4 linked regions of the Xenopus tropicalis genome follow. The protein of the gene in region 4 interacts with the protein of the main gene of each other region in a pairwise test. Links are inferred from orthologs where the notes say so. Each region holds a gene or a part of one and is shown on either strand. Other genes may lie near its edges.

Evidence for each region.
Region 1: the proteins of igf1r (region 4) and grb10 interact in a two-hybrid assay, tested with the Homo sapiens proteins (4 studies listed by BioGRID and IntAct). The link is inferred for Xenopus tropicalis from reciprocal best matches to the Homo sapiens genes IGF1R and GRB10.
Region 2: the proteins of igf1r (region 4) and ywhab interact in a two-hybrid assay, tested with the Homo sapiens proteins (2 studies listed by IntAct). The link is inferred for Xenopus tropicalis from reciprocal best matches to the Homo sapiens genes IGF1R and YWHAB.
Region 3: the proteins of igf1r (region 4) and kcnip3 interact in binary tests that used the Homo sapiens proteins (3 or more experiments, as listed by UniProt). The two-hybrid records come from large-scale screens. The link is inferred for Xenopus tropicalis from reciprocal best matches to the Homo sapiens genes IGF1R and KCNIP3.

What each region holds. Positions count from the first base shown.
Region 1 is NC_030682.2:60,064,482-60,072,010, forward strand, and holds part of grb10 (growth factor receptor-bound protein 10), read right to left. Parts: intron 6,627-7,529; coding exon 6,528-6,626; intron 6,243-6,527; coding exon 6,165-6,242; intron 4,939-6,164; coding exon 4,822-4,938; intron 3,131-4,821; coding exon 3,064-3,130; intron 1-3,063.
Region 2 is NC_030686.2:12,510,197-12,518,293, forward strand, and holds the start of ywhab (14-3-3 protein beta/alpha), read left to right. Parts: upstream 1-2,759; 5' UTR 2,760-2,847; intron 2,848-8,097. UniProt on the Homo sapiens protein: Adapter protein implicated in the regulation of a large spectrum of both general and specialized signaling pathways. Binds to a large number of partners, usually by recognition of a phosphoserine or phosphothreonine motif.
Region 3 is NC_030679.2:124,874,485-124,882,475, forward strand, and holds the start of kcnip3 (calsenilin), read left to right. Parts: upstream 1-3,490; 5' UTR 3,491-3,542; coding exon 3,543-3,641; intron 3,642-7,991. UniProt on the Homo sapiens protein: Calcium-dependent transcriptional repressor that binds to the DRE element of genes including PDYN and FOS. Affinity for DNA is reduced upon binding to calcium and enhanced by binding to magnesium. Seems to be involved in nociception.
Region 4 is NC_030679.2:114,866,552-114,874,080, forward strand, and holds part of igf1r (insulin-like growth factor 1 receptor), read right to left. Parts: intron 3,466-7,529; coding exon 3,251-3,465; intron 2,329-3,250; coding exon 2,202-2,328; intron 1,294-2,201; coding exon 1,055-1,293; intron 333-1,054; coding exon 165-332; intron 1-164. UniProt on the Homo sapiens protein: Receptor tyrosine kinase which mediates actions of insulin-like growth factor 1 (IGF1). Binds IGF1 with high affinity and IGF2 and insulin (INS) with a lower affinity. The activated IGF1R is involved in cell growth and survival control.

The sequences.
Region 1 (7,529 bases), on a different chromosome or scaffold from region 4:
GGTCCCGAGCATTCTGGATAATGGGTCCTATACCTGTATACGTGAAGGGAATGGATAGTCAATAGTTTAAAGGAACAGTAACACCAAAAAATTAAAGTGTATAAAAGTAACTAAAATATAATGTGCTGCTGCCCTGCACTGTGCGATTACTTCAGAAAATCTACTATAATTTATATAAATAAGCTGCTGTGTAGTATGGGGGCAGCCATTCCTGCACTGGTACAGCTGGGGTGTTTGCTACAGAAACCCTACTATAGTTTATATAAATACCCCGCTGTGTAGCCATGGAGGCAGCCATTCAAAGGAGAAAAGGCACAGGCACATAGCAGATAACAGATAAAACACTATTGTATTCTACAGAACTTGTCAGTTATCTGCTATGTAACCTGTACCTTTTCTCCTTTTTTCCAGCTTGAATGGCTGCCCCCATGGCTACACAGCAGCTTATTATATAAATTATAGTAGCTTTACTGTAGCAAACACACCAGTTTTACCAGTGCAGGGCAACAGTGCATTATATTTTTATTACTTTAAAGCGCTTTCATTTTTTGGTGTTACTGTTCCTTTAAGACTGAAGCTTTAAAACATTTGAAAAACTGCTGTAATTCAGCTGTAATGTTAGCTTAAACTTTAAACAGGACTATGGGATTCTAGGGAAATTATTAGGAGTATAGATAAAATTGTCTATCAGTTTATTATCAGTTCAGTTGTGTTTTAAGTGCCCCTTCCCCTTCCTGGATGTATAAAATATATTAGCATATTAAAAACAGAGGAGTCGGAGTCGTAGAGTCGGAAGTATCAGAAACTGAGGAGTCGGAGAATTTATCTACCGACTCCACAGCCCTGCATAAATCCCATTTAACCTAAAAAGAATTGATTTACTTAATTGTAATTATATCTGGCCAAAGAGAGATACGAATACAGGTGTGTTTCTGTGTGAGAAGAAGCAGCAGAAGCAGGCTGTAAATAAATGCAGGGAGGGTGCACTTGGGTTAATGTCTGACTTGCCTTTTTATTTAATAGCATCCAAATTTAAATTCATACATATGGTGCTAATTTCAGTCAAAACCAGCAAAAGCAATTAAAGCCTGACATTACCCTAAGAAAAGTTGCTGCAATAAACACAGAAAGTAGTATGCATCTATAAAAGCATGGTAGCAGTTCTATCAACAGAAGGCCAATATAACACATATTACAAACAGATTCAAGTATGGGACCTGTTATCCAGAATGCTTGGGACCTGGGGTTTTCTGGATAAGGGGTCTTAACATTATTTGGAGTTCCATGTCTTAAGTCTACTAAACAATGATTTAAAGTTAAACATGAAATAAACTCCTTAGAATTGTTTTGCCTCCAATAAGAATAAATTATATCTTAGTCGGGGTCAAGTACAATTTACTATTTTATTTATTACAAAGAAAAGGAAATTATTTTTAAAAATTCCAATTATTTTATTAAAATGGAGTCCTATGGAAAAAGGACCTTCCTGCAATTCAGAGTTTTTGGGATAATGGGTTTCAGGATAATGGATCCCATACCTGTATCTCTTTCTATATTTTTTTATATAAACAACTAACATTGCCAGGAATTACATGAATTTTTGGTAGCGTTATTGCTTGTGCTTTAACGCAGGTAACAAAACATGTACCAATGCTTTAAGTGGACAACTAAAAAAAGGGGTCATTTACATGCTGGCCAGGTCAGCAGCTAAGAGCTGCTCAGCCAAAAGCTCATCAGCACAGCATAATTGCTCTATATTTTTTTTACATTAGTTTTCACCATTTCCCAAAGCATAGCAGCAGTAAAAGGGTTAATTTGCATTTAAACACACACTTTGTGCCAGCAGTTGAATGCCTAATTAGCATTAAAATGAGTTTCCTTTTCCTTTCAGCACACAGCAGAGGCAGGCATGTTAATGAGTGCACACATGCGCAGTGACATTGCATGGTGGGAAGTGCACAGCAATAACCGGTGGTGGGGGTAAGAAAGCCCAGACTAGAGGAAGGCATAAGAAGCACCTGCCTAGGGCCCCCCACTCCCCCCGTTATTGCACCCTAGGCTAGGCAGGTGCCTTTTCTGCCTACCCCTAGTTCTGGCCCTGGCACACAGTTAATGTACAGTTACGTCTATGAAGATTCTCATTCATCCAGGTCATGATATACAGTATCTAGTAGAATTAAGTCTAAAACAACTGGACTTTTCTGAGTCCAGTTGTTTTAGACTTATTTCTACTAGATAATGTACAGTTACACTTTTATCAGGCTATAGGTTCATTTAGAGCAGTGATCCCCAACTAGTGGCTCGGGGGCAACATGTTGCTCCCCAACCCCTTGGATGTTGCTCTCAGTGCCCCCAAACCAGGTAGTTATTTTTGAATTCCTGACTTGGTGGCAAGTTTTGGTTGAATAAAACAAGATTTACACCAAATAAAGCGCCTGTAAACTGATAGTGTGCATAGAGGCTGCCTAATAGCCAATCTTAGCCCTTATTTGGCTCCTCCATGAACTTTTATGGTGCTTGTGTTGCTCTCCAAGTCTTTTTACATTTGACTGTGGCTCACGAGTAAGAAAGGTTGGGGCACCCCTGATTTAAAGCTTCAAAGTTTTAGATTTAATATACAAATATGATTACATATACACTTCAATTAATTACAACAGGGCATACAAATATAAAAGTTGCAAGCAGTTATAAAATAAAAAGGAATAAACACATTAAGAAACTCTATAATTGCATTACTGGCTAGGAAATCCCTTTATGTCCGCTGAGGCAAGGTGAAAGCTGGGCACGCAATGTAACATTTGGAGCCCCCAATCTGTATGCTAAATACAGTGTAATTTGGTCTGCTTTTTATTTTCATCCTGAGACATTTCCTTTATTAGCTTTGCAAGAGGTAGGGGTGTACAGAAATGTTTAATTTTACAACCTGCAACTAGTATTGTTTCCAGGCCAGTTTCTCTAAACAGATGTTGCAACTCATTTATCTACAGGTTTATACCTATTATTTAACTAAAGGTTCTTTACAGGGTTTACTTTTGCATTAATTGAAGCCCAGGGGTTGTTTACCTGTGCTTAGTGTGGAAGGATGAAGTGGACTTTGGCTACCAAGAACATTCAGTCGTGAGCTGCGTTTCTGTAAAACAAAAACAAAGAAACATGAAAAAGATAAAAGGACAGCAATAAGATCTGCAAAGTTTCCATCAGGTCGAGCAAACAATCAGTAGACTGTATTTAATCACAAGACTGCATATTTTATTGGATTCCATTGGTGACTAGACTAGGTACAAACTCTGCATGTTTTTTTTATTACGTTAACCTATAATTAAGTCACTTAAGAGCAACACCAGGATGACAAGGACGCCGAGGAATAGTAGAACTCCAAGGATTACCCAATCAGATAATGCTCAATCTGTACTTCCATAACAACTAACACAGCTGACTTTCCCTGGCATCATTTATTAAATATCCTCTTCAGGGAATCTGCTTCTAAATACCTCATTCATTACCTTATGCCCCACAGAGAGATTAGTCCCCCACGGTAGCAGAGATTTATCAAGGGCGACTAATCTCCCTGATTTGCCTTTCTACTAGCAACAAAGTGAATCGCCAGTCAATCGGCGCTTCTTTTCCCAAAGTTGTGTGAATTTGCCTGCAGAAGGAAACTCTGAGCAGCTTCGGAAAATCAAAGCAACGCATATGCCTTTCCACTAGCGATTCAATTTGTTGCAGGTGGAATGGCATTTTGGGAGATTAGTCACCCGCAGCAGTAGGGATTTATAGAGGGTGACTAATCTTTCAGTGGGGCATTAGCCTAACTCTAAATGATCTCTATAGGAAAGCTTATCCACACCTAACTAAGTATTCCTAGTATTATACACTATATGCCACTATCACCTGCTAAGTGCAATGCTTAATATCATATCATTCACATTGTACCAATTCCAAAAGCATGCCAGCAGTAAGAAAAAGGTTATTTTGCAATTAAACACACATTTGTTTTTGTACCAGCAGTGGAATATTAATTAGCATTACATTTTCAGCACACAGAGTGTTAAGGTACAGTTACACACACACTTTCATATAAGCTATGGATCATTTAGAGTAGAGCTTCCTGCCACATCCAAATTGTAAGTTCACATCTCCATTTGCCTTGTTCCATCTTTCCATCCTGTCAGCACTGCAGATTATTATATATAATGTTGGAGTAAATAATTCTAATAGATGACCTGCAGGGGAGTATGGGCAGACAGAGACTAAAGGCAAAGTATTAGGGCACTATGATCATAGTGGTTAAGTAGTATTTCCTTAAGCCCCTTGCACTGTTTCTTTTCAATCAATATTTGCTTAATAGCATTGAAGTGTGCTATAGGGAACTGGCTTCCCGTTAAGCAGAACTGAAAGAGGATGCTAAATGAGAATGGCATAATAATAATAAACACATGCAATTTAAAGCAGAAAAATGCAAGTTACACATTTTAGGGTTACAAACTTATTCAGTCAAGTTTGATGAACTATTTAAGTAATTAAAAAAAAATGTTCAGTGTAGGGAAACTTTTTAAGGACATGCATGAAATGCTTAAGCTGTGGTCTAACCAACAAATTACAAAAACAGAATTATGCTTAAATGCCCCTTTAAGCATGCTAAGTTACTGCTAGATGTGCTCAATTACTAATTACTGCCTTTCAAGCTAATATGTGGCAGAGTGCCTTAACTAGGGACGAGCAAACTTTTATTCGCATTATCATTGGGAAAAGACAACATTTATTTTTTTACTTGTCACCTAGAAACATTACTCATGTGTTAGTGAGTACAGTGATAATTACCCTCCAAGCATGGCCTTCCTCCATAGCAGCACTTTGTGCTTCTACTGGATTTTCAATAACTCTTCCAGTCTGCCCAGAGAAATCCATTGCAACTAAGGAATTTTCTGATACACTCCTCTAAAATGATAAAAAATGACAAAATAAAAAATCACAATATCTTAGAAACATATGTGTATGAAGCAAGACAGGAAACCTTTAGAATTTTAGGACCATCTTCTAAATGGAATTTCTGAAATAACTGGACCTAAATGAGGTCAAGCAGGCAAAATGGACACCAATCTAAACATTGGATGTTGCAATATCTCCGACACCTGCCTGTTGCTTTTACAGTGTGGATCTCAAAATACAGTCCTTACACATTCAAGGTTTCTATTGTTGTCATACGTAAATGCTAAATGTCCTATAATCAATTGTGAGGGCTAACCATATTGCACCAATTATAATATGCATTGTGCTCTTTGCTGCGAACATCAAAAAGTAATAATGCAGTTTGTTTTTGATAGACTAACTTTTTCACTCACATATCAGCCTTACAAATTGGTCAGGCTTTTAATTACAATAAATCACATGATGCCCTTAAAGGTCCTCAATCACATAAGTAAAGCAGTATCAACTAGAACAGTAATGTAACCATTGTTTTCCTGCATATCCATCAAAACATTTTGTTCTAAAAGTGCCCACATACGGGTTGAAAAAATCTGCAGACTTGGTGCTTCCAGTTGGCAGCTTATTGACCCATGTATGGGGCCCACTGCTGAGCCTGCCCGACTGATATCTGGCCAAATATTTTTCCAAATTTATTTGATTTTCCTGTCCAACAAGGACCACATTGGCATGCTGATGTGGCCCTTATCTGATGGCCTGTACGTTCCTCTGTATGATTCGATCCTTGGCCCGGAATATGGATTGCAAACTCAGGCCCAGATCTGGCAGTGTATAGCCAGCTTAATTCTATATCTTTTAGAAATGGCTTGTGCTGAACAACTGCAAAGCCAAGGTGCACTTCTTCACAATCTTCACTTACAGGAGCTGACAGTGGTATAAGATGAAAGTTTATGAGATTTTCAAGTGATGGATATAGAACTCTCTGATATCAGAAGAATATATTTATAAGGTTACAATTTCAAGGCATTCAGATGACAAATTACATATGTATGCATGTAATATAATAAACTTAATAAATATGTTCACTACTTAAATTAACTGGGAGGTGGTGTGGAATTTGATTAGTAAAATAAGAGCAAATTAAAAATAAAAAGGTCTGTTATTACCAGTCATATACTTAAGGAAAAATTTGACAAAATTCTAATTTAGATAGACTATAGGATAATAAAGACACATACCACTGGGGTAGAAAAGTTTGTGTGCAAGCTTTTTTTCTGCTGTGGAATTCTGTAGTTTTGATAAAGCAACATCCCATACTGCAAAAGAATAAACAATTCAAAAATGAAATTTTAGAAAGATTTAAAATAAAGATACAGTGAATTTAGAAATAAAAGAAGGCTTCTTGCATAGCTGTACATGGTCACTTTACAGTACAATACTAAGGAATGAAGTAAAGCAGGATAATATGATAGTTGCTTACTGCACAAGTAATTAATGCATTTAGAGTAAACATTATTAGAACGTTGCCAAACAAATGTCAAACGTGCAAAGAAGATTCCAAGTTTCTAACAGCAGGCCTCAGCAATCAAACCTAAATGTACCTTGAGAAGCCTGAATGCTGTCATCCAACAAGTCCTGCTTTGTTCATCTTCTGCACATAAAAAACGCAGCTCTTTAACCTCATTTCTCACTTTGTTGGGCTGCAAAAGAGTTTTTATAAACATTAAAAGAAAATGTATTTTTTTCTCTAGATGAGAGCGCTGTCAAGTACATAAAGTTCGCCTTTAGATTACTTATTTGCTACCTCGAGGTAATTCCACAATGGGCTGTACCATCCAGGATGTGAAGCTGGTGAAAAGAAAACCTAAGGTGCACTGTGCCTACAGATTACCAACACAGGAGTGCCATGGTAAGAAGCTAGTGTTCAGTAAAGAATTATTGTACATTGATTTTTTATGCCACACTTGTCTTCTTTTTGCTCTTTTCTTCGGGCTGGGCAAAGAAAATTTGAATATTTCTAGCTGAAGGTCACAGCTATAATCTCACAGAATTATATACTTTTTTTAAAATTTATTTAAAACACACTTTTTTTGTTCTTACACTTTTGTCCTTTTTTCATTTGGATTCTGAGGGTGTATATAACCCGTAAAGGCTCACTAGGGGTGTAACATATAGCTATTAGGCTCTATCTCACGCAGCCATAGCCCTAGGTGGAAGCTTCAGGCAGCCTCATGGGGGAAAGGGTCCCTCCATAGCAGCTACACAAAAGGAGCCATTAGGTTCTATCCTACCCTATCTGGGATAAAGCCAGAAAAAAAAAATGCGGGAAAGTGGTTCTAAAGATCCTTGCCACAGATGGCCTTTTTATTCTTTGTTTTATTTTGCGCACTGTGTGTAAGCAATTACACTTGGTGACTATGAAATCACACATCTCTGGCTTTCAATTAAAAAGAGAAAAAAAAAAAATGAATGAACATTTGATCAGCTACTGCCCCGTTCGTTCTTTAACTGCTTACTAGTTGGGTAAGCTTTGGACTAAAATATATAACATTTCTAGGTTTTCGGTCTTCTTTCCAGGATTTCTTCTACTTTGGAAGACAAAT
Region 2 (8,097 bases), on a different chromosome or scaffold from region 4:
TAGAAATAAACTATTTGTCAAGAAACAGCCTATTTTATCTGAGAGCAATTAAAGGCATTTGACATCTTTTTATGTCTCTGTGTAAAGCTGGCCACACATATCCTTATTTAGACAGGCAGTTTAGCAAGATTTGACTGTTAGCTTGGGGGCTGCCCCTGGGGACACACAGCAGGGTATTTATATAAACTATAGTAGGGTTTCTGTAGCAAACACCCCAGCTGTACCAGTGCAGGAATGGCTGCCCCCGGGGCTACACAGCGGGGTATTTATATAAACTATAGTAGGGTTTCTGTAGCAAACACCCCAGCTGTACCAGTGCAGGAATGGCTGCCCCCGGGGCTACACAGCGGGGTATTTATATAAACTATAGTAGGGTTTCTGTAGCAAACACCCCAGCTGTACCAGTGCAGGAATGGCTGCCCCCGGGGCTACACAGCGGGGTATTTATATAAACTATAGTAGGGTTTCTGTAGCAAACACCCCAGCTGTACCAGTGCAGGAATGGCTGCCCCGGGGCTACACAGCAGGGTATTTATATAAACTATAGTAGGGTTTCTGTAGCAAACACCCCAGCTGTACCAGTGCAGGAATGGCTGCCCCCGGGGCTACACAGCGGGGTATTTATATAAACTATAGTAGGGTTTCTGTAGCAAACACCCCAGCTGTACCAGTGCAGGAATGGCTGCCCCCGGGGCTACACAGTGGGGTATTTATATAAACTATAGTAGGGTTTCTGTAGCAAAGTAGGGTTTCTGTAGCAAACACCCCAGCTGTACCAGTGCAGGAATGGCTGCCCCGGGGCTACACAGCAGGGTATTTATATAAACTATAGTAGGGTTTCTGTAGCAAACACCCCAGCTGTACCAGTGCAGGAACGGCTGCCCCCGGGGCTACACAGCGGGGTATTTATATAAACTATAGTAGGGGTTTCTGTAGCAAACACCCCAGCTGTACCAGTGCAGGAATGGCTGCCCCCGGGGCTACACAGCGGGGTATTTATATAAACTATAGTAGGGTTTCTGTAGCAAACACCCCAGCTGTACCAGTGCAGGAATGGCTGCCCCGGGGCTACACAGCAGGGTATTTATATAAACTATAGTAGGGTTTCTGTAGCAAACACCCCAGCTGTACCAGTGCAGGAATGGCTGCCCCCGGGGCTACACAGCGGGGTATTTTATATAAACTATAGTAGGGTTTCTGTAGCAAACACCCCAGCTGTACCAGTGCAGGAATGGCTGCCCCCGGGGCTACACAGTGGGGTATTTATATAAACTATAGTAGGGTTTCTGTAGCAAAGTAGGGTTTCTGTAGCAAACACCCCAGCTGTACCAGTGCAGGAATGGCTGCCCCGGGGCTACACAGCAGGGTATTTATATAAACTATAGTAGGGTTTCTGTAGCAAACACCCCAGCTGTACCAGTGCAGGAACGGCTGCCCCCGGGGCTACACAGCGGGGTATTTATATAAACTATAGTAGGGTTTCTGTAGCAAACACCCCAGCTGTACCAGTGCAGGAATGGCTGCCCCGGGGCTACACAGCGGGGTATTTATATAAACTATAGTAGGGTTTCTGTAGCAAACACCCCAGCTGTACCAGTGCAGGAACGGCTGCCCCCGGGGCTACACAGCGGGGTATTTATATAAACTATAGTAGGGTTTCTGTAGCAAACACCCCAGCTGTACCAGTGCAGGAATGGCTGCCCCCGGGGCTACACAGCGGGGTATTTATATAAACTATAGTAGGGTTTCTGTAGCAAACACCCCAGCTGTACCAGTGCAGGAATGGCTGCCCCCGGGGCTACACAGCAGGGTATTTATATAAACTATAGTAGGGTTTCTGTAGCAAACACCCCAGCTGTACCAGTGCAGGAATGGCTGCCCCCGGGGCTACACAGCAGGGTATTTATATAAACTATAGTAGGGTTTCTGTATATGTAATATTTTTATTACTTTAAAACAATTTCATTTTTGGTGTTTCTTTTCCTTTAAACATGTGGTATATTTTTTTTAACTGCAGGTCAGTGTGCCAAGGGTCCCCTGTAGAATAATTGCAGCTTGAAGGGCCACAGGCAGCCAGCAGCTTCTGAAACAAATACAATATCACTAGGCCGGTATGAGGCTGTACAGGGGCCCTAGAGGCAAAGGGACAATGGTGTAGGCCACTCGGTCAGCCTGACAGCAAAGGTCCCGAAGCACACGTTACAATCGCCCAAACTATTGCTTTATCGAAGCAGTTCATTGATTATTTTCACAACACCATTTTATTGAAATTGAATAAGCTAGATTTTTTTTTTTTTTCAAAGGGGGTGGGGAAAGATAAGCGGACGACAAAATGGAGACTGCAGCAGGTTAGACGCCTTCATTCCCCACAGAATGCACAATAACACATTCTGTATACCCCACGATTGAGAAACTCAATAATACTCATAACTGTGTCAGGGCAGCTTAATCCCCCTGATTTCTGCCCAAAAGCCCCGCAAAGTGTCGCCTCAAACCCCCTACAAGCTGACACTTGCCTCCCCTTCCCGCCCAGACGCGCTTCCTCCCACCCCTCCTGCTAAGACGGTTGACGTCATCTCCCCGTTGCCGAGGAAACGATGAGGTCACCCCGCTTCTCCCCTCCCTCCAGTGAAGCCGCCAGTGCTTGTTGTACTGTCAGGAGTTTAGAACTGAAGGAGAAAGGTGGAGGGGAGGGGCTTGGAGGCGGGGCTTGAAGGAAGCGGAAGTGGCGGCTGGAACGGAAGTGGAACGGCCAGTGAATCTGCAGGAGAGGAGGAGAACGGTGAGGGAAGCTGAGCTAGCCCGGGTCGAATTACTGAATCTATTGGCAGGTCGCGGATTTTTGAGGTACGTGCGATGGCAGAGAGCGTAGTGCATTCGTGTGGGAGATGGCGGCCATTCTATAGCCGCCTATGGGGTCGCTCCTTACAAGGGCGGGGATCTGTGCGCGGCCTGGATCCCTTTCCCCAGCGCCTGGGGCTCAACATCCGCTCGCTTTCCCCATTGGGGCCCCCTTAGTACCCCACACCCTCCGATGCGCAGGGTAACCTCGCCCGATCCGTAGGCCTCTTTCCGACCCTGTCAGCCGTATTATCCCCAGCCCTGCCCTTACACAGCTCCCAGCATTTCCCGTTACATGCTTTCCCTGTTAAATGGAAAATACGTATATAATTAATAGACTTTTTTTCTTTGTTATGGAAAACCTATAACCGCACATTATTGATTATTTTTTTTTTACCCCTTAATGTCATTCGTTGCCGGTGCCCCAAAGCTTTTTGTAGGCAATATCTCATTTAACCTATAGACGTCATTGAAACAGCGACACCTAGTGGCCAGATGCTTGTATAGTGTCACAAAGCAATACCGCAATACTGAAAAAGCACCAAGATAGTCCCCTGTAATTCGCTGCAGAAGAGTGTATACAGCCAGCACACACCTTATATACAATAGGTTTCATATACATATACAATGTGTTTCATAATATCAATCAGGAAGTGATCTCTTTATTTCTGCAGCAGCAGGAAGTGGCAAATCAGGGAAACAAATGCTCCATTTGGGGATATCTACAATTATACAGGATCAGCAACTCTATGGGGTGTTTATTTGTAGCCTTTCCAAGCCCTGATCTATATGCAGGCCTATTTATCATTATCTACACTTTCTAGGCAGCCTGAGGGCTACAGTTCACATACACTAGATCCCAATTACTGAATCCGGTAGCTAAATTGTCATGCAAACCAAGAATGTCATCTATAGTTGTACATTACATTAACATTTATTTATAAAGCGCCAACATATTCCGCAGCGCTGTACAATAAGTGGGTTACATACATTGGACATACAGAGTAACATATAAAGCAATCAATAACTGATACAAGAGGTGAAGAGAGCCCTGCCCAAAAGAGCTTACAATCTACAAGATAGCACTGCAACTAGCAACATCCTTGTACAGGTATGGGATCCCTTATCCGGAAACCCATTATCCAGAAAGTTCCGAATTACATAAATGCCATCTCCCATAGACTTCATTATAAGCAAATAATGTAATAATAAAACAGTACCTGTACTTGATCCCAACTAAGATATAATTACCCCTTATTGGGGCAGAACAGCCCTATTGGGTTTATTTAATGGTTAAATGATTCCCTTTTCTCTGTAATAATAAAACAGTACCTGTACTTGATCCCAACTAAGATATAATTACCCCTTATTGGGGGCAGAACAGCCCTATTGGGTTTATTTAATGGTTAAATGATTCCCTTTTCTCTGTAATAATAAAACAGTACCTGTACTTGATCCCAACTAAGATATAATTACCCCTTATTGGGGGCAGAACAGCCCTATTGGGTTTATTTCATGGTTAAATGATTCCCTTTTCTCTGTAATAATAAAACAGTACCTGTACTTGATCCCAACTAAGATATAATTACCCCTTATTGGGGGCAGAACAGCCCTATTGGGTTTATTTAATGGTTAAATGATTCCCTTTTCTCTGTAATAATAAAACAGTACCTGTACTTGATCCCAACTAAGATATAATTACCCCTTATTGGGGCAGAACAGCACTATTGGGTTTATTTCATGGTTAAATGATTCCCTTTTCTCTGTAATAATAAAACAGCACCTGTACTTGATCCCAACTAAGATATAATTAATTCTTTCTGGAGGCAAAACAAACCCATTGGGTTTATCCAATATTTAAATGATTTAACTTAAATTGTGGAGATCCAAATTACAGAATGATCCCTTATCCGGAAAACCCCAGGTCCTAAGCATTCTGGATAACAGGTCCCATACCTGTATAACAAAGGGTTGCTGTGGGCCCTTGGGCTTATCATTCAGCCACTAGAAGGTAGTTGGTATTTCCTAAATAAAGTTGGCACTTATCTGGCTTTGCAGATAATGGATCTTTCCATTATTTGGGTCACCATACCTTGAGGCCTGCTAAAAAATAGTTTAACCATTAAATAAACCCAGTAGAATTTTAGCTTAGTTCCCATCAAGTACACAGTACTATTTAATACAGAAGAAAGGGATCTCGGTAAAATACATTTGAATTATTTACTTATAATGTGCTCTATGGGAGATGCTCTTCCTGTAATTCGTAGGTTTTTGGATAACGGGTTTTGGGTTAAAGGGATCCTATACCTGTTCCAATTTATCCATCTAGAGATATGAGTATATGCCCATATAGTGAGATGATATACAGCCATATAGGAAAAGGTCTGCCAATCTATACACACATTTCCTGATCTCCCATGTAGCCCCTAAGCCGCGCTTAATCAATACATTTCTTGGCTCCTTATTCAGCTGATGGTCAGTATTGATCCCTGACAAGCTGCCTTTAATCCTGCTATGACTCCCATCCATATTTCATGTGTACAGCTCTTAAAAAATCAGAAGTCTATCTCAAAAGTCTATCAAACAAAGGCATGCTTGGCTATATGAATAATTAATAATGGCACGTTTAGAGTGAGAATATAAACGTTCTGCCCAGTGTGCCTTGCCATGATTAAGCAGTTTGGTTCTGGAGTGCTGCATTGCATTCTATGTACCAGCAGAGTTTATGCCAACAAAACATTTTTTTTTTTAAATTCTTCTAACGTTTTAATTGCTTTTTTCTTTTACTCAGGATTAGCACTGTGGTTGCATATTTGCTCTGCATACCCTTCTCATTAGAAAATGTGCTTAGCTTGTTTGTACGGATCCTTTGTGCCGGGTTGTCTATAGCCTCCTTGCACCAAGAAGCTCGGCTGTTAATTGCATACATGACATTGTAGAAAATCCTTTCACAGCCAATATTGCTAATTACCTTTGATCCGAGCCTCCAGTTCCGAGGCAGGCCAGTGGGTGGCAGTGTGCTGCATGTGTGTGACACAAGAATGCCTCTGCTTATCTGATTTTCTACAAAGTTGTCAGTGTAGGGGCCTTTTTCTCATGAACACACCATAACTAATATGCATTCAGTATAGCCATGGCCCTTTAAAGTTGATTTTCATATACCCTTCATTTAGAACCTTTTGAACTAAAATACAGCATTTGTTAAAATACTTGACCTTTTCTTTTTCAAATAGTTTATTAAACATAATTTTAATTTGGCAAGATTTCCAAACAAGCTAATCTTTACCTGATTCGGGGAGCAATGGAAGACCCATCAGGACGCCCCACTTCCCAATCACTTTTATGGCAGTTACTGCAAACTCACAATATTTGCCGGTTTGGCCTGCGGGCAGATTAGTTGGATAAACACATTTTCACATGCCCTTTAGTCCTGCAAGTTCTTAAATGTGGGACTGGACCACTAGTGGGGATCCAAAGAAGTGGATGCAGGGGGCATCCAGTATCTGGAAACCCATTATCCAGAAAGCTCTGAAGTACAGGAATGCCATCTCCCATAGACTCTGTGTTAACCAAATAATTTACATTTTTAAAAATGATTTCCTTTTTTTGTGTAATAATAAAATAAAGTACAGGTATAGGATCCTTTATCTGGAAACCCATTATCAGTAAGTTCCCAATTACGGAAAGGCCATCTCCCATAGACTCCATTATAAGCAAATAATTCTAATTTTTATAAATGATTTCCCTTTTCTCTGTAATAATAAAACAGTACCTGTACTTGATCCCAACTAAGATATAATTACCCCTTATTGGGGCAGAACAGCCCTATTGGGTTTATTTAATGGTTAAATGATTCCCTTTTCTCTGTAATAATAAAACAGTACCTGTACTTGATCCCAACTAAGATATAATTACCCCTTATTGGGGTAGACCTGCCCTATTGGGTTTAATTAATGGTTAAATGATTCCCTTTTCTCTGTAAGGGTTGGCACACGCGGCGGCGCGATTTCCCGAAATCGCCGAAAAAGACTCGTAAGGCTTTTTCGGCGATTTGCGCGAAATCGTTCCACCGCGTGTGCCATCCCGCCGGCGACTTACATTTTTGCCGGTGGGAAGGCAACTCGGGGAGATTAGTCGCCCGCGACCAGGGAGTTTTGTCGCGGGCGACTAATCTCCCCTTGTGCCAGAGCCCTAATAATAAAACAGTACCTGTACTTGATCCCAACTAAGAAATAATTACCCCTTATTGGGGCAGAACAGTCCTATTGGGTTTATTTAATGGTTAAATGATTCCCTTTTCTCTGTAATAATAAAACAGTACCTGTACTTGATCCCAACTAAGATATAATTACCCCTTATTGGGGGCAGAACAGTCCTATTGGGTTTATTTAATGGTTAAATGATTCCCTTTTCTCTGTAATAATAAAACAGTACCTGTACTTGATCCCAACTAAGATATAATTACCCCTTATTGGGGCAGAACAGTCCTATTGGGTTTATTTAATGGTTAAATGATTCCCTTTTCTCTGTAATAATAAAACAGTACCTGTATTTGATCCCAACTAAGATATAATTACCCCTTATTGGAGGCAGAACAATCCTATTGAGTTTATTTCATGTTTAAATGATTTTCTAGTAGACTTAAGGTATGGAGGTTCAAATTGTGTAAAGACCCCTTATTCAGAAAACCTCAGGTCACGAACATTCTGGATAACAGGTCCCATACCTGAAATACCACTGAAGCCCAAGGAAGCTGCTTTTTTTCTAACCTCTTCTTATGAATTCATGATACAAGCCTAAGTGATGTTCTAAGGCAGGGATTTGCTGCTGGAAACCCACAGACCAAATACAGCTTACATTTTATGACCCCAGCCTAATTTTGATACAATCTAGCCTGCAAATGTATTGTCCATCAAATAACCTGCTCCATGGAGAAAGTTAGGCATCACTAATCAAGCATTTATTAAGATGTAAGGGCTATGGCTCATGGGGCAGTGGAGGTTAAAATACCCCTCTCCGCCTAGAAACTGCTTCCCATAGAGAGCTATAAGAAACACACTAGTTAAAGCCCATTTAATGATGGGAAGGCAGAAACAGGTCTTTGGATTGCCACTGTTTTCTAAATGCTGGCAGCAGCAGTCAAAATGTCACCTATGCCACAAGCCCTGCCCCATGGATGTATTGGCAGACCCAGAATGGCAAGTGGCTGGCCATTAGCCAAGCAAACAAATTGAATTTAATATGAATGCTTGACCA
Region 3 (7,991 bases), about 10 Mb from region 4:
TAATTTTTAAGTCCTGTGTTTTGATCCAACTGTTGACTCCCAGGCCAGTGATCAGATCAGCATGATTTGGCCCTGCACATAGGTGGGCAATTTGTAGAGCCACACATTGGGTGCCCTCGCCATACCAGCATATCTATCTGTGTATGACCACATTAAGCCTTGCCAGTTCAAACTACTCTTGTGATTGCCGACCCTTCTTTGCAAATTTCTGCTGTGGGTTTTGAATCTGAGCTTCCGGATGAGCAATTTGTTCACATCTGCCACAGAGGTATGCCTTCTGGAACTCCTCTTCCAAACGAGCCAACAGATGGCACAGTGTGCGCTAAGTGAGACCATGAATCCTCTGATCACTCATTATGCCACGTATAGGAGGAAAACCTTTAAATATACAACAATATGCTGACATAATTGCACTTAAAGCAGAGCTGTCTAAGCCCCTGCTGTTTCAAACTCCAGAGGTTTTTAACTTTAATTTAACTGGAAAGAGCAGATTTCAATGAGCGCCATTCAGAGGAGCCATGTAACAAGGAAGCGGGTGCAACAGCGAGGGCGGGGTTTTGGTTTTGCACAGGAAAGTTATTAGACAACCTAAATCTGAATATCCAAAACATAATGGGGTTGATTCACTAAAGTGCGATAAAACGAGCGCTATTTATAGCATGCATTAAAAATTTTATCACATCTTATTTTTTGCTACTTGACGCTCGATTCACTAAAAGGTCAGGCGTCATAATTAAGACGCGACGCACGACCATTACTTTAGGAAAACTGCTGTTCTGAAAATGACCATTTCCCTGCAAACTGGCGGCTGCATCACTCTAGGGCCAACACAGACTTGAATAAATCCAACTGCAAAGTCCATATTGTGTTGCCAAAAGCTCATGAACCACAATTTTCTTTAAGTACCGCCTGCCCCAAGTAGGTGTTACTTTTCGCACAGACTTATGCGATATTTAGTGCGTTTAACGCTTCATATGTGTTTGTGAATCATGCGTTAGTATTATTTCTATGCGAGAATTAACCCAAGGCAAGGTAAATAATGCATTGTGATTTTTTTTTGCGCATGCAATATGCGTCTTAACACATGCAAAATGACTGATGAATCAGGACTTAATTATCGCATGCTTTTTAATGCAAAAAAGCATTGGATAAGTGTTATCACACTTTAGTGAATCAGCCCCATTGTTTGCTTTCAAACGGGTAACCAGTAAATGCTACCTACTAACAACTGGTTGCTATGGGTTACTAGACCTGCTGCAAGTTTGCAATTTGATTACAGAACCATTTTATATTTATAAACCGCACTCTCTTTAAGGTGATTATAATTAATGATATATCTCTATTATATATCATTTCAGTAAGTAGAGCTTTTGATGATAATAGACCTCATTTAAGAAGTCGCAGGCAACATGCAAAGTGCAAAATATAGGCAAAAAGGTGCATTGCAAAGACTGCACAGACCACTTGCCCGGGCATGGGCACTACTACTGCTCCCTCACTAACATTGCTAGGCGTGAGGTATCTTATAACTGATATGCCAGATCTCCACCAATGGGGTCTTGGCCATACTGACCCTAAAAAAGCAGTACTTTGCACCAGTGTCAGTGTCAGTGTTTGAATACTTATCTTCTGCTTGATTTGGTGCAGTCCTACTAGAAATCCTGGAAATCCCAGATTTAAGGGATCATTTGCAAACACAATATCAAGCATCCCAGTATGAATCCTGTAATAAATTGTAAACTCCAATAATCCCAGCCCTCCCAATATAGGGTATTCCACAATTTCCACTGTGCATTTTTAAAATGCCATTAGCATGCGATTCTTTTGGTGCAACCCTGGTGCACCTATTGATGGAACCCGCTGGGGGGACCCTGAAACTACCAACACATTTAAGGTGGCAGCAACTCCATGGTCCCTCAGCATCAAAAGTCGAACTTGCACCTGATTCATCAGGGCAGACTGGTCAGAACCAATAGCAAACCCCCTTGCAGTTATAAAAGTAACCCTATGTGTGTCCATCTATCTTATTTTTCAAATTGACAACGTTATTTGGGATATTTATATTGGGCATAGTCTAGAGCTGTCCAATTTAATACAAGTAGTGGGCCAATTATATCTCATACAGCATGTTGGGGGGTTAGATTAAATTAAAATGATGAAGTCATATAGTCTATGGACCTTATGATGTGAAGTCTATGGAGCCTTTGAACATACTGGGGGCCATAAAAATCCTTTGAAGGGCCACATCCGGCCCACGGCCTCCAGTTGGACAGCCCTGCATTAGTCCATCAGATGGACTTTATCATATTGCTCAGGCACCAAGATGAGGAGGAAAGAAAACAAAAAACCTTCAGCATTTAAAAACAAATAGGAATTGTCTCTTTGGATGACCAGAAAATTCCATAAGAGTACTAATAGAAAATGAAAAGTTCTGCACATAATAAACTATTACACTGCATGTATCTAACCTACGCAGCTCAACATGTTTCTCTCCCCAGCCATCCATGCTGTGCTGCTATTCCATGAAACTATCCCAGTTTTTCTAAATCCTCCTCCTCAATGTCTGCCCCCTGGGGATTTCAGGTTACGCCTTTCTGTCTGCAGCCGCTTTCCTTTCTGTACTCTGATTAATCCCTTCCTTCATATGAAAAGTTCCTAGCATCCCATCCACTTTCTCCTCTCCGCTCTGTAGGGACTATGGAGAGTAAACCATTCCTTCACTCCCTATGTGTGAGTGTGAATTGTGTTACTCTGCTTCCAGAACTTCATCTATTTTTGTCTCTTTTACGGCAATAAAAATAGCTCGCCTTCTAACAGAGCCTGCGCCGGCTGCTCCCTGTGCATTCGTGGCTGGGTTTGGGTTAATAAGGTATTTTGCACATTAGGGCCCCCTCGCTCTATGTGTGGGCCTCAGTACTTGGGTTCTGTTACCATGGAGATGTGGGGGTGGGTGTAGGATGCTGCAGATTATCTGTTAATTTTCTATTGTGATAGTCTGTTGGCTGCCTAAAAAAACCTATTCGTAGTTTGTGGAATTTAATGGGTGTCTCTGTATCAATGGGCACAATTTTTTTTTAATTGTTATTTTATCCAAAATCAAAATGTTACATCACCATACAGTACTTTACCATAATGGTAGATTATTTGCCACATCAATTACATTTTATTGTTATTTAATATCAATTTTTTTTTTATTTTTTATAATGAGACAGAACAATGACTTTTTTTAATAGAACTGGGCACCCTGCTGCCGCCAAAATAGCCAGTATGTGCAGCCCAAATGAAAATGCTGGTGCTTCTATGGGGACTGACAGTACCCCAAGGTGTGACTCTAGTGGGGGGCAATGGGGCAGAGCATATTGCCTGAGCAAGCTGTTCCAATGAGCCCATTAGCACACACAGAGTGACCTCTGCAGCAGTGAGTGAGTGAGTGAGTGCCACAGGATGAAGGGTTGGCCATGAGACTGACAGGCAGCAAACGGTTAATGCACAAGAGGTTTTTTTTTCCTAGAGACTGAGATAAGAGGTTGGGAGGAGAAGAGATGCTGCTGCGAGTTGCCATTGTCACACACACACAGTTCCAGCCTCCTCAGCAAGTCTGCAGCACCCCCTGCTCCGCTGTGCACCCAGTCACCATGCAGGTAAGGGGGATCCCCGGGTGCTACCCGCACACCTCTATGCCAACCAGCCTCCACCCTCAGCATCAACCTCTCTTCCTTTCTGCTTTTCTTTTATTCTGTTTGTTTTCTTGCTTTTCTTACTATATTCCATTCCCTCCCAACCCCTCTCATATCCTATCTCTGCTTATCCCTTCCCATGAAATGCTCACCTTTCCTTTTCTTTCCTGATTTTATCCTTTTGTCCTTCTGCCCTTTTTATATCTTATCTTTTTCATACTTTTGTCTGCTCTTCTACTTTTTTCCCATCTGACAGTTGGTTACACCTGTTCTTTCCCCCTATGTACCAGGATTATTTGCTTATTGCCTATTTGCATCTGTGCATCCCTTTCACTTTCTCCCTAAGACCCCTCGCTTTCCTGGCTCTCTCCTCTCATCCCATTCTCTGAGCTGAATCTATTTCATGTATCCCATTGACTCCATTAAATGAAGATGAGAGGGATGCAGATTGTCTCCAGCTGCCCAGCTGTCCCTCTCCGGCACCCCCTCCCCTGCTCCTACTCTCCTACTAATGAGCAGTGAGGTTACGGAACTGCACAGCCAATCTTTCTACGCAAACTCTCCCTCTCGGAGTCACATTCCAGTAAATGGCAGTTTAAAATGAAATTTCCTACCATGCAGCATTATGTAGAATATGTTTAACCCACTCAGTAAAAGGACATGGTTTTGAAACCTACCAATGGGCACCATATTGAGCCAGTCCTCGTTCACTGAACTGTATAGAGTAAGTTCTGATTATTTGGGAGAAACATTCAAATAAATAGGCAAATGCCGGCAGATTAGACATGCAATATTGAGTCTGAGCTCCTTTAGCAGTTCATGGGCAGTTCAGTATAAGCAATTAAAACTGTAAGGGATTTGACATCCTTAGTGGGTGGAGCAACTGCAGTTGCAGTTTTTTGCAGAAATATATACCTCCCCAGCCATGAATCACGAAGAAGCACTCCCCCCCGTAATTTGTTGGAAACTGAATACTTGCTAACTTCTCAGGATGCTCCCTCCTTACTCACACTCAGCCTCGAATTAAGTACACAACAGTTTTTTTTCCTGTTGCCATGGGTGTAACTATAGAAGGAGCATACCTGTAACTGTCGGGTTTCTTTATGAAAATGGCTTATTCCTACACTTAAGGGTACTTCACATTATTTTGGAGCCCAATGCCTTCTAGCTATGCCACTGCCTATTGCTATTATTATCAGTTAAACCAGACTAGCATAGGCATAGCCAAGGTTGCCTAACAAAGTGCTGATTGCCAGATACGGCCACCAAAGTGGCAGGCAATAGGTCAATAATCAGATCATGTTGGGCAGCCCTGTCCCATGCAGACCCATAGGGTGTAGAAAGTGTCAACACTGTGCTCCAGACTGATATCTAACCACAATGAGCTGCCAGCCAGAGAGTCTGTGGTCTTGGCACCATACAGGTTGGCAGTAAGCTGTGGATTGGTGTATCAGCCTGCAAGTGTGTAGTTAGTTTTACTACAACATATCTGCTAGGTACAGTGGGTAAAGCAGGTAAGCTCACATAGGGGTGACTGCTCTGAGCCTTATGCATCACATGGGCCTAGGGGGCAGCTGTTGTTGGTAGGAAGAGTGGGCAATAACTTTCATTATTTCAGTAAAAAGTTTCAGTCAGACTGTAAACTGTAAAAAGCCTATAAAATGGTCAGTTGTTTCCAGTGGTATAGGAACAGCACAAGGTGCTACAGAGAAAGTTGGTGTTTTTAGAGATTTCACTGGAAATGTGACTTGGGAAATAACATTATACTGACCAGTATGGGATATAGGTAAATATATGGGTTTAAGCAAAGGGGTTATCCAGGCTTTGATCACATTAGGGCGCTGTTTTATTGGGTCTGTGATACACAGAGCAGTTTGGGGCTGTTTCTTACTTGGCATCAAGGTACCCCAAATCCCCCCATTGCAAACACCAAGCACAGCTGATAAACACACTATTCTGCACGCTCTCGGGCATCTCCATTTGATTTCTATTGCCATCAGTAGGGGCCTGTGAAGGTGATCTTTGGCATTTTGAGTAGAGAAAAGTCTTTGGGCTAAACTTTTAGTTCAGTAGCTACCTGTTTGATAGGATCGAAATTACCTTAACAACCAGGCAATTGTTTGAATGAGAGACTGGAATATAAATGAGAGGGGCTGAATAAAAAGATAAATAATAAAAAAAATGGCAATAACAACAAAATATAACATATTAAAAGTTAATGTGAAATTAAAGATAAGATTCCTTAGCCGGTAAACCCCAGGTTCCAAGGTTTCAGAGATCCTAAAGATGTACTCACAATATAATACAAAGGAAGGAGATGAATAATTGACTTTAATTTGCCTTAAATGTCTTTCCTGCCATATTTTCCAGACACTTTCTGCTCATTTCTCTTTTTTTGCTATTTTTCTCCTTTTTTCACCCATAATCCTCTACTTTATTAACTTTGTTATTAAGATCGTTAAGATCTTTGTTAAGATCTTTAGTTACTTTTTTCCTGTTTGAGTCGTACCTCTTTCTGCCCTTTTTTTGAATACAGATATAGGACCCGTTATCCAGAATGCTCAGGACCAAGGGTATTCCAAATAAGGGGCCTTTCCGTAATTTGGATCTCCATACCTTAAGTCTACTAAAAAATCAATAGACCATTAATTAAACCAATAGGAGTGTTTTGCATCCAATAAGGATTAATTATATCTTAGTTGGGATCAATTACAAGGTTCTGTTTTATTATTACAGAGAAAAAGGAAATCAGTTTTAAAATTCTGAATTATTTGATTAAAATTGAGTCTATGGGAGACGGTCTTTCTGTAATTCGGAGCAGTCTGGATAATGGGTTTCTGGATAAGGGATCCCATACCTGTACTTTAAAATGAATCTATATTTACATCTCTTATAAAATGCAAAGAAAATCAGGTTTTATTAAACCAAACATTACAGCTGATTGGCCAGCCTTTGTCAGTATAATGAAACTACCCCTAAACATGCAGGATACCACCATAAACCATCAGTTCCCATAAGGTTCATGAACTGTAGGCCTCAGTACATACAAGACCCCCCAAAAAAACTAAGGTTATTACTGCTCAGTACTGTAGCTTATTACTGGCTGTGCCTGTGGGCTCCTGGGTTTTGGTACGTCAAAATAGCATAAAATAGACGAATGGCAGTTTTTTGAGCAGGTGGCTATCTCCTACTTTTATTAAATGCAGAACAGAGTAGGTGCAAAGCTGTTTGGACAATCCCTTTCTTCAAGAAGGGCTTTCTCCCAAAACATTTGCCCATTCACTACTCTGCATTTAATTAAGGGCCACTGTTCTATTGTGCTGTTTTGAGGTGCTAGAGCCCCATAGTTATATCATAAGACATTTGAGATGCCAGTTGACCCCATTTGGCAGGAGTAGCTAGTCAAACTCCAAGTGGCATCAGTTTAACATGGGACCATTAGTCCCATACCAGTGGAGATCCGGCTATGTCTCTCACTCTGTGGGTACATATGGCAGGCTGAAATACATTTGCCCTGCTACAACAAGCAAACAAGCCCGTCTCCAAGCTGAAAGGGATGGCAGTAGGTCATTAAAAATAGTGTGAACTTCAAATGCTCTAAACTCTGTGCAAGGGATTGTTGTCTTGTTATTCTGACTCATGAACATCTCAGTACCCAATACAATGCTTGCATGGCTGTGGTAATGCTTTGTCATTTTACTCAGTGCAATTTCTTTTCTAGAGTTCACTGAGGCTGCCGTGATGCCTGTATATCTTTCTAACAGAGCAGCCTCAATGTCCCTTCAGTCTCCATGTTCTTCTCCTGACGTCTGGCTTTCTCAGTTCCCCAGTTTCCTATTCATGCTCCATGTTCCACTTGGTACTTTGTGTTTCATTCTCCCTGCCCTGGTCTCAATATTCCAGGGATGTCCAAAACACATCCCTCTGGCAAAATGCTTTAAATAGCCACTAATGAATGCAAAAATGCACATTTGCAGAGAGGGAATGTTCTATGTAGGGGGAAAGCTGTGCCTTCATGCTGTCTATTTCATGGAAAATAATGGAAGTTATACCCCTTATTGAAATAATGTATTGATATAATGCCAAGCTTTATTCTTCAGATTCCAATTTCCCTATTATAAGCTCTATAAGCAAGGGATGCCCATGTGTTTCAGAGCTACTATTTACTTCATAGTGATAGGGATAATTGGTGTCAAGGATACCCCCTTCAGCCCTCTGCCATGTTACCAAGCTACAGCCAGAAAGCATTGGGCTGCAGAGAACATGCAGAGGAGACATGTTGGGTGCAAACTAACTTTCAGCAGTATAACAGTT
Region 4 (7,529 bases):
CAGCATAGAAAAGCTGTACTGTATTTGCTTAAAAACAGGCAACACCAGTGCTGCTTTGCCATGAAATCATTTGAAGATACTGGACATGTAACCCTCAGAGCACTGCACACCACTATAATAATCTTCCCACACACAACAGGAGGCTACAGTGACAGTCGCCGCACCTCTGAAGCAATAGTTGTACTGATACAAGTGTCTGTCCTGAGGCTGCTGCTGCCATCGCACAATATAGTAGGAGAGGTTCCCATTTGGTTGACTGGGTGAGTTCCACTTCACCACCAGCTGAGAAGACGAGTTGGATGCGGAGATCACATCTTGGGGGATGGAAGGAACTGGAATTAAAAACAAAAAAAACAATTATGTTAGAATTCATCCTCATGCTTAGAACAAGCTGTACATATGACTCTGAATAACATACCCTATTAGCAAAGCACTGCAAAATGAACATGGCAGAAAACTCTGCATCAGTCAAGCTATAATCTAGAAAAGTCACAATCATGGCAGGCAATGGGCTGTGGCTTCCTTCTTGTGATGGTGAATCCCCAAGCTGTATGAGTGCATACTGTGTTTGCAGACTCATGCAGGGTGTGTAGATGCTCCAGGCAAAAAGACACAGGGGTGACATACATCTCAGCGTGATTGTCTTTTCAGTTCTGCAAACCCTGGAGATGCTCGGCAATCCCTCTGGAACCCATTTCCCATCAATTTTAACAAGTTCCTTTCATTGCCTTATGGGAGCTGACAAAGTCTGTGTTCCCCTGTATTTTCAGTCTTTTAAATTTTACCATCAGCTGTAACATACTGCACTTGTGTAATCATGCATTCCTCCTAAACAAGATTTACCTTACTGCTATCTTTCAATTTAGGTGGTAAGCTTTATTCTGGCATTCAACCAAATGCCTTGTTGGTAGGGTCACTGGTTTTGGTAACCAGGCATTTGCAAGAATGACAGAAAGCAAAAAAAACCTTTAAACTAAAACATTATCTTCTTATTCCAGCACTTTAACATCATATAAATATTATAGGTATGTATTTGCTTTGGCTGAACACATACCTGCTGCATCTGTTCGTATATATATGATCTTGCTTTTGGCACCATGAATATGACGGCTCTCCAGCATGGTCAAGGTAATAGCCTTCACATAGATTGCATATTGTGTCCAAGGCTTCAGTCCCTGCAGGAGGATTCCAGGGTCACTTTCCTTGCTGGCTGGGAGGTCCACATCAACCATATTCCAGCTGTTGGATCCACATGCATCCTGACCATCATACTCTGTTACATTATGGAAGAGTCTGAAGTGTAAGAAAAAGGAAGCAGAGACATAATCAGAGGAAAGCCTAAAAGCTAAATGCAGCAAAATTGGAAATTTGGAAGCTGTGTTGTTTTTGTTTGGCTTACAAGAGATATAAGCTTAGCTGAGAAACAAAGAAAACTGCAGTTAACTGGCTACTTATTAAAATGCCCATATTGTATGTGAATGTCATAGGGACATTTAACTGTTAACTCCACTGGGGAAGGGGCTGATTAGAGTGACAGACAATTTTTGAAAAGAATTGTGGAAATGTGTTATATATAAATAAAATAATTACTTGCTAGATCTTTTCACCATTTAGATAATACTAGACATCTAACCATTCTGCAGCATTAGTACCCCTAGACAAAACATTTACTGTCTTATCATTAACCTGTTCTGATACAGAAGTCGCTTGTGTCTAAGGATACTATGCAATGTGAATATGGACTAATATTCTAATCACACTTTATATATATTTATAGTGTATAAGCTGGGCCCTAGATCTGGTGATTAACATTACAACCAGAACATGTGAATCAGCAGAAAGATGTAAAGCATTCTCCAAGCCACAAATATATTCAGTGTTAAAGGGATGTGATGGCTTTGTAGGCTGGCACAAAACATAAGAAGCAACATTCCTAGCCTAATATATTGCAGAGCATTATCACTTAAACCTCATTTTGCTCTGCCCTTTATATAAAAGGACAGAACACCTAGAACAGATAGATGGTAAAGAATGCTGCATTGCTGATATATATCCAAGAAGCAGCACTAACTATAATTTAATCTATGCTTAGCTTTTTACACCTTTATTAGAGGAAACCATTATAGATCAACCTTTAACTGACAGTTCATCCTTGGGTAAGTGCAAGCGCCACAGGAATATGGTTGTAATGTGGGACTCACGCCTCTTTGTAGTAGACAGTGAAGCTGATAAGGTCTCTGTAATCCGGTGGCCTGTAGCGCTCCCATGTAAACTTAATCCGGTTCTTACTTGTGATTATGGAGGTGAAATTTAAGACGTGACTCTCGCCTGTAAATGAGACACATCGTACATTGGTGGGAAAAAACTTCATTATGTTAATTCCTATAAAGCATTTTTTTTAGTACAAAAAAAAACAAAAAAAACCCCCAAGAAGTAGATTTTAGGGCAATGACACGAGTCGCGGTAGCGACTAATCTCTGAATGCTTTCCTACTAAATCGGAAAACATGTGTCAGTTCGGCTTTCCAAACTTACCTTGCAAGTTGGGCGACATTGGAAAGCTGAAGCAACATATGTTTTCCTACCAGCAATTTACATTATCGCCGGTAAGAAAGCATTCAGAGGAGATTAGAGCCAGTAAAGATTAATCATGGGGCCACTAATCTCCTCATGTGTCACTGCCCTTAGTGTAAGCAAAATAATATATAAACTTTTAGAGCACCTAATTAAATCCCTTCAAGAGCTTTATCTGGCCTCTATCAGGACTGCATTGTTCTAGAGCTTGACAGGCTCACTTACAAAACAAAATAAAGTGCCCATGTTTAGGCTTCAAGTACATGGGTACATTTTTACACTATGTTATGATTCAACCCGAACCTTAGAAAAGGTAGATACAGGCTCAGTCCACATTCTCCTGTTTTATTACAGCTAGGAAAAACATTAGTTAATTTAGTGCAGCATTATAATAATAGGGCCTGGCTAAAGGCCACATTTATGTGTTGGACATAAATGTGGGTTGATGATAAACTACTATAGGATATGGTAGGCCATATTAAGGGCAGTCCCAGAAGGAAAAACATATTGGTTTCATTAAAAGCAAGTAAGTGCTCACCCTTAAAACAACTTGGCCTTTAAAATAGGAGACCCACCCTTTTTTGAAGAGCTTCTACAGAGACAAGCACTGCCTGGTTGAGGAATGCTAAAACCATAGGGTCAGACTACAAGGTGGTTCTGAGGCACAAGATACTTACATGAAGCCATATTTCCATTAGTACTAAGGCTGATGTCCTCTGCAGTCTGCCTCCCTTTCGTTCCAGTTACTTCCTCCATGCGGTAAATCTCAGAAGCGCAAAGCTTGGAGTTGAATGCAAAACGTATTTTGCCCTCTTTGATAGTGAGGTTGTGCTTCGACCAGTCCCACAACTGCTGTAGGTTGTTATTGTCAAAGACGTAAAAGGAATAATTTCTGAAAATTAAAAACAGGAGGCCACAAATTAACAAGCACACATTAGTTTTATGCCATGAGCTAAAATTTATTTATCTATATTATTGCCACTTGTCTGCTAACATATAGGGTATTCTTAACAAATACAATCTCAAAAAAATGGTGCAGGACACATTTCTGTTTTAGATTTTTAACCCCACTAAAGAAACAATTTTCTTTCAAGAGTTAACTTTGCCCTGTAAAAAGAAGTTGTAGCACAACTAGCTTCTATATATTACACCAGAAATACTGGGGACAGTAGCAGACAAGGAGCTATAGATTAAAAATGACTGAGAAGCAGCTTGATTTTATATAAACCAATAACATAAAATACAATAAGTAGCACCAGTCAGTGCTGTACCAGCTACAAGCAGTCAACTTGCACAGGGCAGCAGGTGACACAGACAGAAGTATAGACAGAAAATAGATAGATAAAAAATAGCATAGACAGAACATAGAAGTTCAAATGAGTATTTAAATGTGGCTGACTGTGAAGAAAGGCAAATGAGTTTGTGCAGTTTTGTACATATAAAAGGAAAGTATGCTCAACTGCACCAGCAGCTGAATAGCCACAGACTGCAGAGAACGCATACCATGTACAACACAGCAAGCCTTAATGATTTGCCCTGTGGGTTGTAACAGTGTGCCACTGCCAGCTGCTATTGCCGTTACCAAACTGTTAACAACAGTGAAGACCTGCCTGGCCCATGTTCTAGTGTTTCCCAAAGCCAGTTCAGGAATAGACTCTGAAAATACAATTTGAGATATTAGACTTGTGATCATTGGTAACCAGAGAATGGCCTTTTCCCATTTGGCCAAACAGTTCAGCCTTCACAGATCAATGGCCAGATTTTCCTTCTATGGTCTTGGTTAGCCACTAACTTATGAAACCCTACCTGCCTTGGCATTACTATATGTGATCCACTGTCTAAAGTAACAAACTAAATAAAGACATTAAAAAAACTTAATTATGGTTAGTATGCCAGAAAAAAGATATTTAGGAGAAGCCAGAACCATCATCCACTTATGTGATGTATGATGTATGAATATCTTCTCACTCTACAGCGTCAGGGAAGAATCAAACTGCTGTTAAAAATTTAACATAGAAAATAACATATTTATAAAATCCTGGATTATAAGAAACATGGGGGTCCGCAGCCCTCAACTATTAGCTGGCAGGAAGCTGGATGGAAAACTTACTATATATAAGAACTAATGCTGCAAAGACTTCTGTAAATTTAGAAAGGTGAAGCAAAGCCAGAACATGGAGCTCAGCTGTGGCCCTGGCGTAGCAAGAGGCCTGCATTGTACGCATATTTGCAGCATCTGGCGCAAAATGATCCTACACAAATTGATATTTTTTTTTGATCTGAGGTAAAGAGCTCTCCAAGCTCAATAGCATGACATCATTTTTATTGAAATAAGCCCAAAGCTTGGATTTTCTACATACAGAATTTTAGATGTAAATAAAGTGATGGATTTTACATGACAAAGGGCGGTATCAGATTATCTAAACAGGGAATTATTTATTCCACTTTTTAAACGTTTAAAATATTAAATTTGGCAAAACTGACAGAACATTAGAAGAAAAAATAGACTATGTGTTAGGATTTTAATGTCAGCTGATGTAAGATGCAGAATTTAAAAAATCCTTGACACATTCCTATGAGTAGCTTGAGAAATGAAGTAAAAAGCAGCAGAGATGCCAGGAATTCCTTGTGTAGGAAACTTAATCCAAGCAGGTCACATAAACCAACCGATACAGTGCTTTCCCAGGACCTCTAAATCTACTTCCCCAGAACAGGAGCCCCCTCGTCCCTCACCCAAGACTTCATGACAGAGAACAGGTTTGTCTTGTGTGTTGGAGTGAAATGATAAACCAGGAGAGAAATGGAATGTATCCAAACACTGGCATTCCATCGCTCAGAAAAATAACCAATAACCCCTTTTCTGCTAGAAGGCCCTTCTCTGACCAGGGGGAGATAATTGGGCAAGAGGTGGCAGGGATAACTAGGGAAACACCTCTAATTTGTGTCATAAGGAAACATAGAGTAAGGAGCGCTTTAGGGGAACAGGCGCCGGGAGGAGTCACGGAACACATCCGGGGGGGGGGGAAGATGACTCTAAAAGCAGGGGGATTTGCACAGGAAAGTGAGGGGGGCCTAAAGTTGATCTGGATCAGTTCTGCATTGTGAGAAGTGAGGGAGGAAGGTGTAAGAGTAGCTAAGTTTACATGTAATGGAAAAACCCTACTGGGAATGGGAATGGAAAGTAATAAGAACCTTTATGAGCAGAGAAGTCTGTTGGGGAGCTGCAGGAGGAGCAATACATAATATTACACACAGAAGAAGCTGTAAACTCAACAACAAGTAGAAATACCAAACACGTAGGGGTTTTACTGCAGTGTGGGGTTTAAGTGCAAATTCTTAGGCTAATATAGAATATAGAACTGCGACTGACTGAGTGGCGATTTGTTTTTAAAGAGTGGCGGCGACTAATTGCCCCTTATGGATAGAATAAGTAGCCCTGAGGAAACATAATCAGAAATTTCTTCTTATATAGAATATATAGACAAAAGATGGGAGTAAAGTTGGCCACATGTGGGCTGACGACTCTTCCAGACAAACTTGCCAGCTTATTAGCAATGGGAGCTGCCCGGCAGCCTACCAAACTAATAACTGATATATCAGGCAGGTGAAATAGCTCTGTAAGGCATGGACTACATTGGCATGCTGGTGCTGTTATACATACTTTAACTGGGAGATTAAAGGTGTTCTAGCTAGATTTCCTAGATATAGATAAACCTTTGCAAGGGATAATTATTAACTGCAGTAACCATGATTAGCACCACAGACTTGTATACAGTTAGGTCCATAAATACTTGGACAGAGACAACTTTTTTCTGATTTTGGTTTTGTATATTACCACAATGAATTTTAAATGAAACAACTCATTTGCAGTTGAAGTGCAGACTTCTTTAAGCTTTAATTCAGTGGGGTGAACAAAACAATTGCATAAAAATGTGCGGCCACTAAAGCATTTTTTTTTTTTTTTTTTTTTTAACACAAACCCTTCATTTCAAGGGCTCAAAAGTAAGTAGACAATTGACTCAAAGGCTATTTTATGGGCAGGCGTTGGAAAGTCTGTCATTATCAATTAAGCAGATAAAAGGCCTTGAGTTGGTTTGAGGTGTGGTGCTTGTGGATGTGCATGTGGAAGATTTTGCTGTGAACAGACAACATGCGGTCAAAGGAGCTCTCTGTTCAGGTGAAAGAAGCCATCCTTAAGCTGCAAAAACAGAAAAAACCCATCCGAGAAATTGCTATAATATTAGTAGTAGCAAAATCTAGAGTTTGGTACATCCTGAGAAAGCAAGCAAGCATTGGTGAGCTCAGCAACGCAAAAAGACCTGGACGTCCACAAAAAACAATTGTAGATAATTGTAGAGTCATTTCCATGGTGAAGAGAAACCCCTTCACAACAGCCAACCAAGTGAACAACATTCTCCAGGGGGTAGGCGTATCGATATCTAAGTCTACCATAAAGAGAAGACTGCATGAAAGTATAGAGGGTGCACTGCAAGGTGCAAGCCTCTCATAAGCCTCAAGAATAGGAAGGCTAGATTGGACTTTGCTAAAGAACATCTAAAAAAGCCAGCACAGTTCTGGAAAAACATTCTTTGGACAGATGAAACCAAGATCAACCTACACCAGAATGATGGCAAGAAAAAAGTATAGAGAAGGCATGGAACAGCTCATTATCCAAAGCATACCACATCATCTGTAAAACATGGTGGCAGCAGTGTGATGGCTTGGGGGTGCATGGCTACCAGTGGCACTGGGACACTAGTGTTTATTGATGATGTGACACAGGACAGAAGCAGCCGAATCAATTCTGAGGTGTTCTCAAATCCAACTAAATGCAGTCAAACTGATTGGGCAGTGTTTCATGATACAGATGGACAATGACCCAAAACACACAGCCAAAGCAACCCAGGAGTTTATTAAAGCAAAGAAGTGGAAAATTGTTAAATGGCCAAGTTAGTC